Struthio camelus: one gene and its partners. The protein of the gene in region 3 interacts with the protein of the main gene of each other region in a biochemical or structural test. Links are inferred from orthologs where the notes say so. Each region holds a gene or a part of one and is shown on either strand. Other genes may lie near its edges. The genes, in order: RAB4A, RAB14 and RUFY1.

Evidence for each region.
Region 1: the proteins of RUFY1 (region 3) and RAB4A form a complex in vitro, tested with the Homo sapiens proteins (2 studies listed by BioGRID). The link is inferred for Struthio camelus from reciprocal best matches to the Homo sapiens genes RUFY1 and RAB4A.
Region 2: the proteins of RUFY1 (region 3) and RAB14 form a complex in vitro, tested with the Homo sapiens proteins (2 studies listed by BioGRID). The link is inferred for Struthio camelus from reciprocal best matches to the Homo sapiens genes RUFY1 and RAB14.

Annotation. Positions count from the first base shown.
Region 1 is NC_090944.1:91,388,324-91,392,071, forward strand, and holds the start of RAB4A (ras-related protein Rab-4A), read left to right. Parts: upstream 1-1,179; 5' UTR 1,180-1,394; coding exon 1,395-1,425; intron 1,426-3,748. UniProt on the Homo sapiens protein: The small GTPases Rab are key regulators of intracellular membrane trafficking, from the formation of transport vesicles to their fusion with membranes.
Region 2 is NC_090961.1:2,924,832-2,928,579, forward strand, and holds the start of RAB14 (ras-related protein Rab-14), read left to right. Parts: upstream 1-981; 5' UTR 982-1,399; intron 1,400-1,509; exon of another isoform or gene 1,510-1,686; intron 1,687-1,823; exon of another isoform or gene 1,824-1,887; intron 1,888-3,606; exon of another isoform or gene 3,607-3,676; intron 3,677-3,748.
Region 3 is NC_090954.1:6,838,276-6,842,023, reverse strand, and holds the start of RUFY1 (RUN and FYVE domain-containing protein 1), read right to left. Parts: upstream 2,740-3,748; 5' UTR 2,720-2,739; coding exon 2,455-2,719; intron 1-2,454. UniProt on the Homo sapiens protein: Activating adapter involved in cargo sorting from early/recycling endosomes. Regulates retrieval of proteins from endosomes to the trans-Golgi network through interaction with the dynein-dynactin complex.

The DNA of each region.
Region 1 (3,748 bases), on a different chromosome or scaffold from region 3:
TCAGCTCTCCGAAAAACAAAACCCTGTCTGTTAGCTTATACATATCACCACGTACCTCAAAAGGATATACGGCAAAAGGCTTAGCCCTTGACTGAAATGGGGGGAAAGTTTTTTGGGGAAGGATCTTAACGAGTCTAGAACAGATGCTTTAGGACAAAAAGTTGGACAGTGGAATACAGTTTTCAGGAAGGACCATCACAGGCAGGTTCTGTACCTGGGGAAAAGCGTTTGCAGACTTGCTGGCAGGAAAATTAACTGGAATCGGCTGAGATCCCAGCAGCTCAAAAAACACCAGAATTCAGGGACTATGCCCTCTGACAGCCGTCTGACAAGTCGCCAAACAGGAGCACTCAGCTCCCAGGAGGAATGGCCTCAGAGGCTACTATTTTCCAGAAAGAACTGAAGGGAATTTTTTAATCATCAGTTCAACTTCCAGCACAGACATCAGAATGGAATGGGATATCTTTAAATAATGGAGTTTTCTCTGGACAAGGAAAACGTTAAGATTATTCAAGCCTTAGAAATCAACATGACCTCAGCGCATGCAGAACTGAGGCGTCTGTTATCTTGGCAGAGTTGCAGCTAGCCCCACCATCGCCCACACTTTGTGGGTACAGCTGTCTCGTATACCCGGGACTTCCAGGACAGCTACAGCTACTACGCACTGGGCTACCGCACAGCAGAGCGGCGGTGAGGCCGTGTTTCCTAAATGTCTGTGGCCTATCGGGCGCACACCCTGCGACCACGGAGGAAACGGAGCACGTTTCGGGGAACCTGCGACCAGCCTGCCACCCACAAGTTGTACGCCCGACTTGTGTTAGCTCTGGCAGCCCCCAGGGCTTCCTGATGCAGCCCCAGATGGAGTACCAGAACAGCCCTCTGAGACTGGGGAAAACAGAGAGCAGGGCTAGGACGAAGAGCTCCCAGGGAGCAGACAGAGACGAGCCCACACTCGTGCGACATGGCGGCCACCACCGGGGTAGAGCAGCCAGTCACGTGGGCCGCCCTCGCGCCCCGCCCCCCAACGGCTGCGCGGCGCCGCAGCCCCGCACGTGCGCCTTGTTTTGGTGACGGCCGTTGGAAGGGGAACGGCGGGGAGGCGGGGCTGCGGGGCATGAGCCCGGCGCGCCTGCGCAGCGAGGCGGCGCTCTTCCCCCCCCCCCCGCCCCACACCTCGGCCGCCGCCGCGAGGGGCGGAGGCCGAGGCGGCTCGGACGCGCATGCGCGGTGGTGGCCGTTGCTGCCGTTGGCGGCTGGGCTGAAGCGGCGCAGTTGGTGGTGGCGGCGGTGGTTGCTGCTGTTGCGTGGACCTGTCCGTCTCCCCCCCGGCCTGCCCCCTCGGTTCTGAGGGGCCGCAAGCCTCTGCCGGGGAGGGGAGACTCGCAGCTCCCAAAATGTCGCAGACGGCCATGTCCGAGACCTACGGTAGGAGCCGGGGCCCGGGCGGGGCAGGCGCTTGCGCCCCCGGGGAGGGGTCGCTGTGAGCGGGAGACCCCCGGCCCGGCGGTGCGGCTCTTCCCCAGCGGGGGCCGGGGCCGGGCCGGCCCAGCCCAGCGCGCGGGCGCTGGCTAGGGAGCGAGGCTCGCCTCCGCCGAGGCTTTGAGCCGGGGCCGGCTCTGAACCGCGGTGTTTATTCCCGAGCCCTAGCGGGTGAACGAAGTGTCAGTGTGGTAAAGGTTGTAGCAAAGTGTCCCCCGCCTCTGGCGTTGTGCTGTTGACTGTGCCGAGTTAATCACCATCTGGAGTAGGAAGCTATGGCCCTTGCTGAAGAAAGCAGAGAAGAGGTGGTAGATCAGGGACTGATCCAGTGTGGCATGAGTTTTGAAGTTCTAGGCTATGGTAGCTGTTTGGCCTTATGCTTCAGACAGGCTTCTTGCCTTCTGGTTTGTTTGTTTTTCTTTTTTTCCTACTCTTTATTAGCAATGTTCACTACAGCCTATTACTCCTCCCTCTGTTGTCCAGCTCACACTGATGTGATAGTGCCTATTCAAAATTATTTTTCAATGTTGAGAAGTATTGATGACTCAAAAGGTAAGTAAAATACTAGCCAGAAAATTTAGGCACTACTTCTTTGTTATCTTTAAGTTAATTCAGAAGGAAAATTGCAGTGCATGCCCTCTAGGACGAAGCTGCTTTTATTGTAAAATTGGGGACAGTGTTCTTTTGAGGGTCAAATTAGGATTGTAGTCTTATTTTCCTAGATACACAAACATTAAAAAGAAGAAACTGTGAGGGTGAGTAAGTAAAAAAAGAACTAAAAAGTTTGTTCATCTCTGTATTAGCATGGACATCTGACTACTATGTGGTGTTTCCTATGAGCATTATAGCAGAAAAACATCTGAAGGCGTAAGTCGTAAGAGTGCAAGCTCTGGTGGGGTGAGTCAGTGCATTAAAGGCACATCAATGTGTGGAGTCCAATAGGTAGGTAGAGCTGATACTGCTGGCTGGGTGGAGCATATGGGAAGTGACTGGATAATATTCATTTCTCGTGTTTGTAACTTTGAGTTCTTGAATCAACCTCGTATGTTTTTTCTCTTTCCATAACATAGTTCTGTATCCTGTAATGCTTTTATTTACTGTATAAAAATCCTGTCATACCTCTAAATATTATTTTTAGAGTCCCTGTGTTGGATTGCTGGAGGATGAGATTGGAATTGGATATACTGTGATGAGCCCTTTAATTTCTCGTTTTCTGGCTTTGTCTGTTGCAGACTGTTATCCTCAGTAATTGGTTGAGCTTGGGATCTGCACTTGTGTCTCTCTGTCTTTAGAGCAGAATCCTGATAAATAATATATAGTTTGGATAATTATAGTGAAATTAGATGCGGCAAGTCGACTCACTGCTAAAGCTTGTTGATCTGAGGGAGACTGGCATCACTGTCAGTTCTTATTAGTAGGCTAGCTGATCTTATTGTTACTGTTGTATAAGTCTCTGTATATTTTCAGTAGCCTGGTCAGGAGTGCTTAGGGTACTTTGTCCCACTATGATGAGTGTTTCAGTATACGGGAAAAAGCACAGAACTACTGGGGAAAATGAGGCAAAAGTGCGGGGCAGCCCTTTAAGTGCAAATGTTAGGATAGCAAGACCCTGTTTCTTCTTTTGGTGTTTTCTCCAAACAAGCAAAACGCATGCGTAGAAATCAGGCCAAAGAGATGTGCTTTGTTGATTTAGATGTGAGTTTGAGCTAATTCTTCATGCTCTGAGCTGTTGCAGTTAAGGATCGAGATCGCTTTGGCTATGTTTATGGTGGGATTTGTAGTCTTTAAGCAGATGGATGGGTAGACAACCAGCGATGATAGAGATAATTCCAGCAGTATTCCTTCTTAACCTGCTTGCTATTACAGCATCAAGATAAATAATTGCATCTTAAACAAGTACATTTCAGCACTTTTTGCATTGTTCCAGTGAGTCAAAATAGTTTTAAACCCACTAGCATTGCTGATACTCTCTGATTGTTTTGATGTCCTAAAAACACACCCTTGAAATTGAAGAGTTTGGGTTATTGTGGTGTTCTAAAGAGGTGGTGGGGTTTTCGGTATATTTCTCTTTTGAATGTCAGTGATTGTTCTGTTTATATACATCAAGCTACAGGAATTCCGAGCTGGAAAACTGAAGATAATGGCATGATTTAGGATAAATGGAAGAACAAAAAATGTAAGCTATGAGATGACGTAGAATTTAACAATAGCTGTACTATCTGCAACCAAGGCAGTAACCAGTATGCAATTTTACAATGTCCTGTTGGTG
Region 2 (3,748 bases), on a different chromosome or scaffold from region 3:
GTAGTAATTTGGAGGCAGCTACAGTAGTGACTTTTCAGGTGGGAACACCAAGGGCCAAAGGGCAGTATGATTTCCTGTCTGGTGGGCAGCTTCCAGGAGTATCACTTTACTTTTCCACAGTGGAAAAGTGGAAAAGCTGAGATTTTCTTCAGTGTTAACACTTGCTCACTCACCTTTTGCACATACAGTAGATTTAAGCAGTATGTTTATCACATCTGCATACAAAAGATGCTTTCATTAGTATCTCATGTTATTTTTGTTCAGTTATTTGTAATCTGTATTAGAACGTAAAGCTGCATTACTATCCAGAGCCTTTTTTTTTTTGAACGTTCTAGTCATAGTATCGATGTTTTATCATCCCATATTGGCACTTTTACAACACATCGCACTTGTGTTACTCCGTAGGTCACTCCAGTAAACCATCATCTTTCCGGGAGGCCTGGATGTGGCAGCACCTTTGCCAGACTGAGGTTCCCTCCTGTTCTCTCATCGGTTTGGGTAGAGCGAACGTGCGGGCTCACACCTGCCCCTCGACCTAGGCGCAACAAGACGTTGGACTGTCGCGAGACCCTCCCCACAGGTCTAATTTTGAGACCTTCAGGTCTCGTTTTTATGGTGTTTCTTGGCCTATGTGTGCTTTTCTCGTGTCCTTCCCCCCCCCCATCAATTTGGGCTGCTGGCACCCGCTGGGCGCTCCCGCGCCCGGACCCGCCCGCCCTCACCTGGGCGGGCTCACGGCTCAGGACGCTCACGGCAGGCGGCTCCGCTGCGCCATGGCGCCCTCCTGAGGAGAGGGGCGGGGCCGCGCCCGTGAGGCGAGCGCCCGTGAGGCGAGCGCCCGTGAGGCGAGCGCCCGTGAGGCGAGCGCCCGTGAGGCGAGCGCGCGAGCAACCACCGCCGCCCCGCCCGCCGCTTTCCCGCCCGCCCTTCGGCGCGCGCCGGAGCGGGGCGGGGCGGGGCGATGGGGCGGGGCGATGGAGCGGGGGGGAGGTGGGGGGGAGAGGTGCGCGCGCTCGCGCCTGGCGCCGTGGCCCGCCCCGCCGGGAAGGCGGGCGCCGTGGGGCGCGCGGCCTCCGCGATTGGCTGCGGCGCGGGCTCTCGCGCCCACCTTTGTGCGGCCCCGGCGCCCGTCGAGAGTGGGAGGGGAAACCCCGTGCGAGGGGCGCCGCCATTTTGGATAAGGGTTGGCGGGGGCGGGGGGAGGTGATGGGGGCGCAGTGGAGCCAGCGGAACTGAAGCCGGAGGGAGCCCCAGAAAAAGGCGGAGACTCGGCCCGGCCGCTGCCCTGCCCAACCCAACCCAGCCCAGCCCGAAGCGGAGCCGCTCGCCGTGCCCACAGCGGGGACCGGGCTGCCGCCGACAGAGCCAAGCTGCACAGCCACCCGCTCCCCGAGCCCAGGTGAGGTGGAGCCGGCGAGAGGCGCCCGCCCGGCCGGGCCTAGAGCGCGCTAGGCCCCCGCGGCGGTGCCCGCCGGCCGGTTCCGCTCCCGGCCGGGCCCTCGCGGGCCTGCCGCGGCGGGGGGGAGCTGCAGCAGGTCGCCGTCCGCCTCCCGACCCGCCGGGGAGGGGGGAGCCCTTCCTGCTGCCGCTGCCCGCGGCCCGGCCTAGTCGGGGCCGCGGCGCTGCCCAGCCTCGGCCGCTCTCCCTCGTCGCCCGGCGCCGCGGATGCGTGTGGGGCCGCGGAGGGTGAGGTGGGTTGGGCAGCCGCTAGGCCTCGCGGCGCTGCTGCTGTTGGTCGCCGCCGCCTCCCCTTCCCTCCTGTGCGCCCCGCGGGGCGCGCCGCCATGGCGCACCTGGGGCCGGGGGGTGCGAGCGCGCCTCACCTGCCGCAGCTGCGCGCCTCTGCTAGGCTGCCTGCGCGCCCGCTGTTCTCCGGGCGGACCCGTGCTGTCGGGAGCTCGGGTAGAAAAATAACCTTCATATTTAAAAAAAAAAAAAAAGGCAACAAATCTATGCCACTTCCTATTTGAGGAAGTGGCAAAAGCATTCTAGACTTGTTCTGTTTTTTCTTTTCTCAGCGACTCTTCTGTCCAAACAGAAGAATGAAATTGCCTTTTTTTTTTTCCCTCCCCACCTCGTTGCCTATTGTCTATTTGCGGTACCTTTTTTAAGGATTCTGTGACACCCGTGGATGGTTTTGTCTTGAACTGAAAACATACTGGCTTCATCCTTGCAGTAAACACAGGAAAAAGCACCTGTGTTGGGGTCTGTCTTTCTTTCCTTCTATGGGTGTATTGCTCTTGAGATTATTTGATGTGGATTGTGCTTTCTAGGTCTCCAAAAGGGAGTGAATCTCTGAAGGAGAAAGGTGCTTTGCACGTTTCTGAAGATGTAAAAGTGCCCTTTTATGAGCAAGATTGATTTAGGACAAAGACTACTTGAACAATTTCAACCCACGAGTCAGAAATTTAATTCTTTTAACACCTAAATGTTTTCATTTGAGATGCATTTCTTCTGGGATCTGTTTCTATCTCAGTTTGGGTCGAGGGCCTGTTGTGCTCGAGTGTTACGCGGGCATGAGCAAGAAAATCCCACTCTGGAAGACTTCATACCTAAAAATCAAATAGTTGAATATGCTTAAAAAGGAAGCTGCTAGCTTCCTGTAGGATTTGAACCTGGCCTAGATCTGAGTTGTAGGAAGAAGCTTCTCCATTCTCTTCCCATTTGGAGAGTCACCCAAAGAAAAAAGTTATTGTGAAAGACAGCAATCTGAAAACAAACCTGTTATACTAGAGGTACTAGGATTAAAAACGTAAAGAGAACTTTAAAACTACTTGCTTGTTCCTGTGTCTCTAATGGAATCTACTTGTGAATGGTTCTCATCTTGCTATTTTCCTTACTTAATTTTGTTCAAAAATATACTTCTTCCAAGCTGATGACTCTAGTTTCATGTATTTCTATATTGATTTATTAGACTAACAGCATAACTCTTCTAGCTTCCATATTTGCTATCTCCTAAGCTTATCTGCTACCTGTCTGAAACTTAGTTCTGCAACCTCAAGACACATGGTGCAGGTTGAACTAGACTTCCTGTTATAAAGAGGAAAGTGGGTAAATGAGGATATGCAGATGGATAAAGAACTCCTATGGCTAAAAGCAGGCATTGGAGAGAGTGCTCTCATTGAGTACAGGTATGTCATATTTAATTTAGCTGGGGTGCTAGGTGTGGTTAGTAAGAAATAAGAGGTGGGTGTGTGTATATAAATACAAGAAGTTTCAGAAACAAAATGGGGCTTGATAGAGCAGGATGTGAAAGCATTAAAAGGATAACAAATACAATTGGAGTAGGACTGGATAACTGAGGAAAATCAAAAGATGAAGATGGTTTGATATGTAGTCTTGATGTGTGTGTGGTTTTTAAGGGGGAGGGGTCAAAATCATCATATAGGAAGGGTGGTAAAGGGCTGTGGAATTTCTAGGAATACTTAATAGACCTCAGGTTGAGTTACGGTGTTTTACATGATTAAGGAATGCAGCAAATGCCCTTCTTCAAGAGCAGCTTGAAATAAGGGTCTGTACAGGTGTAAGTTTGGTCTAACCCCGGGAGCCTGTAGGCCTTGTGTGTGTGTGGTTTTGGTGTGTGGTTTTTTTTTTTTTAAAGGAAGAATAACTGGATGTGGAGATAATGGGAACATGTGGAGTGATCTTCAAAAGCAGATCAGAAGTAGTTTGTCTGGTTGGTATCTCTGCTTGTCACTAGTCACTTTACTTCCTATAGGATGATCAGTTCAGCCAGTTTTACTCTCTT
Region 3 (3,748 bases):
TACAGTCAGTATAGTGGATGCCTCAAAACTGCTTATAATGTCCGAGATGAGACTGAGAATTAGAAGGGTTGTAATATTTTTAAATGTTGATGTCAGTATTGCCAGGCTACACGTTAGGAACAGAAAAAAGGCTGACTATGGAAATAGGAAATCAGTGGCCTTGCTTAGATGTTAGGATGCTTCAATGGCAACTCATCGAGTTATTTTGACGATTTCCTGAGACTGGATTTTTACTTGTCAGGCATGTTTTGCTTGTGAGCTTTGCTCAAGGGCTAGGTATCATATCAGCCACAAGTCTTTTTTTAAACGAATTTTGTGAATGATAATTTATTTATGAACAAAAATTTAAATGTAAACCATGTCTTCATAAGCATTTGTACTAAGTACTAGTTAGTACAATCTGAACTATTTTTTAAACAGTTGCAAGGTTGGACAGTCAAGTGCATCTTTTCTAAAACCATGTACAAGTTGGTACATGCAAAAAAGCCAGATACTAGAACAGCGCGATCTACCAAAGCAAGGCCTGGAAGATTAGGAATCGAGTTACTTAAGTGCAAAAGATCACACACGTTATGATGCGGTCATTAAAAACACCGTCACACAGTCTCTTACCTCATCCAATTCAACAGATTTGTTTTAACATCATTTTGAAGCCCCCGTGCCTTGTTTACTGCACACTATTCAGCAGGCCTTGAGGTAGGAAAAAAACTGAAGTATGAAGAAACCTTGACTGTTCTCCACCTCTTGGTCTATAAAACTGCAAGTCTTTCTTGATTTGTATTTAAATTGGTAGCTCCCTATCTTTCCAGCCAAGCGGGACAGTTTCATCAGTAGTACACGCTAGTTTTATGGTGTGCCTTTCCTTTTATCTGTCCAGTTTGCTGTGGAGTGTGCAGTGGTGACTTTTCAAGTGATCAACATACCTGAAGTAGCAGGTAGAGATTATAAAATCTCTGGAAAAGAGGGCAACAAGGAACAAGTTACTAGCACTCCACATATCTTCTTGCAGGCCACAGAACTAGAGGTTATTTATTTAATACCTGCTTTAAATCAAATTTACTGTTCTCAGTCAAGGGTAACGGTGAAGCCTTTTACACAGGAGGGCAGAATAGGTCATCTAGTGCCTGTTCACTTTTTTTTTTTTTTTAAATAAGTTATAAGCAGATTTTTCTCATGGAATTTTCTATAAACGTTGTTCAAAGTATTTGGATAATACGTTCATAATCTGGTGAGGTGGAGTTGCATTCCCTCATTTTACAGATAGGAAGCTGCAAGATTATGGTGAAAGTCCCATGAAGCCTGGGGACTCTCATTTCAGGCAGAATGTTTTAACAGCCCTCTCCTCTACCCCCAGCAAATGCTGCATGTGCTGTTGTACTATGTGTGTTCACAGCAGCGATCCCAATGCACCTGAAGACAGTGGGATATTTTGTCCTTCCTCAGGTTAGATTCCAGGTTCTCACGCTGGGCATCCAGAAAACAAATCTGTTAAATGTGGTCTGAGACTGTGTAATAGATGCAGGGAAAGCGAAATTGTGTCCTGGAAAACTAGATTATTATTTTAAACTCTCCTGACTATACAAAAATCAAGGAATTTTCATTGAAAAAAATCCCCCCCCACCCACCACGAGTAGCTTATTTCACCACATAGCCACAATTCATCCCCAGAGAACTCCAGCTTGAGTACTAAATATCATGAAAAACAAGAAGGTCAGAACCATAACTGAGCTCTGTTGGTCCAAAAAAATCACTAAGCGCTAGCCTGAAAGCCTGGAGGACAAGACTAATGTGACCAGTTACCACTACATTTGAATGGTTTTGTTTCCAGTGCCCGAATATCACTGAGGTGGTACCAAAGGATTCAATTCGCATAAGGATCCAACTAAAGCCCTTTTAGTTCAGCTGTAAAAGACTCGTTCCGTAAATCCATATGGATTGTTATACCCACAAATATGGATGTTTAATAAAGCAAGCTGTAGTTAACTTAAGGGGGCATTTTTAGCATAGTGAAAAAGAAGTAATTCATGACAAGTCTTTGTCTTAGTCTACCTTGTGTCACAAAAAATCATACCACAAGTATAGCTCCTTCTCTGAACCGCCTAGGAAGGATAAGAAATGAGCCACATCACCTACTAGTGCAGTCAGGCTGCTGCTAAGGAGAACTTTAAGGGAGAAGGCAAAAGTAATCAAAAGCCTTATGTACAGAAAATAAAGTCAAATTTTCCGAATATATTCAGAGTTTACGATTTTTCTAGTTAGAATATACTTTGTTCAGTTCTACATCTGTGGTGTTTGTGTAGTTTTGCTTCCATTAAATAGCGCAGCATCAGATTTTTAAAAATAAATTCAGAGTAATAATAATGCCTCACTGACACTGATAAATGCCACTTACGGGAGCTAACTAACTTATTTGTGCACCATAAAAGCAAGTTTACTAAATAAACATAACCATACTTGTTTTTGCTGTGTTGTCATTGCTGACTGGTTTGGATATGAATCCTACCAAAGATGCAGACTTCAGAGCGTTGCCATAGCTCAGCGCTAAGTTTTCTGAGGCTTTCTTAGCCAGCGACAAGATGGGAGCAGACCATCTTGCTTCTTCCGCAGTTTTCTCTTTTCCCTCGTTTTTCAGCTCAGGGGTATTAGGGATCAGGTTTTTGTCAATAATTTCAAAGTCTTCTTTCTGTTCCGCGGCAGATGGGCTCTCCCCTTCGGCCATCTTTGAAGTGTCATATGACGCTAGTCATGAGCAATCGAGTTGGCAGGGCCTCCGCCCTCCCCCGCCTTCTCACTGCAGCTTGGGAGCCAGGTACGTAAGAGCAAGCTGAACGACTCTAAAACTGTTGCATGCCTAAGCAAGGCTGTAAGACAAGCCTTTCCAGAACTGTGAGCAGTTTTCCCGATGTTCGAAGTTAAAGGCTTGGGGAAGGGAGGCGTGGAAGGAGTAAAGGTTTACTTTTTAAACAAAGTTACGGAGGTAACCAAAAACACACCTTGGAGTTATTTATTGCATACTATGTTCCTAAACATTATTTTCAATTAGAATCTTTGCAGTAACCTTTGAAATCCCACATTTTTTGCATTATTTTATGACAACTTAGAGAGATACTACTCTGTCTATAACTCAAGCCATCCGAACTTGATTAAAATAGTGGATACATATGGCAGGTCTGGAGCAGTGAAAAGTGCTCGCTCACATCCTGACATTACAAAATAGCTGTAATCAGAAAGGCTGCTTCATTAACGTAGCTTGGCTGCATTTGGTAGAAAAGATTTATCATGAAGGAGAACTGAATTGATGCTAGCTGGAAAGTTTGACCTTACTAGGTGTCTCGAATATCAATGTAGCCTGCAGAGGCATGGTTTAGCATTCATTTTCTCCATCCAGCAGCTGTATATCCCCAAGATACGTCACTCATTTAATCATGATATAGTAAATGTTGCATATTAGCTCTTCTTGCTATACTGACTGAGGAAGGCATTTTTTGTTAGCTTTGTTTTATTTTTGCTAAGAAATATCCAGACTGTGAGAAGGGGGGGGGGGGGAAGGAAAAGAGGGGAGGGAACAGCAGAGTTGGAGATCAATTTCAGTAGTCTTGCAGCAAAGGAAATCTTCAGGTCTGTGTCTTATTTGTTCTCCTACTCTAAACTATTTTAAGATTTATTCTGCCTCCTAGGCTTCTCAGACACTGAAAGTTTAGCAACTTACGTTCCACAGAACACAGGGAAACGCTCATGTTTTTGCTGA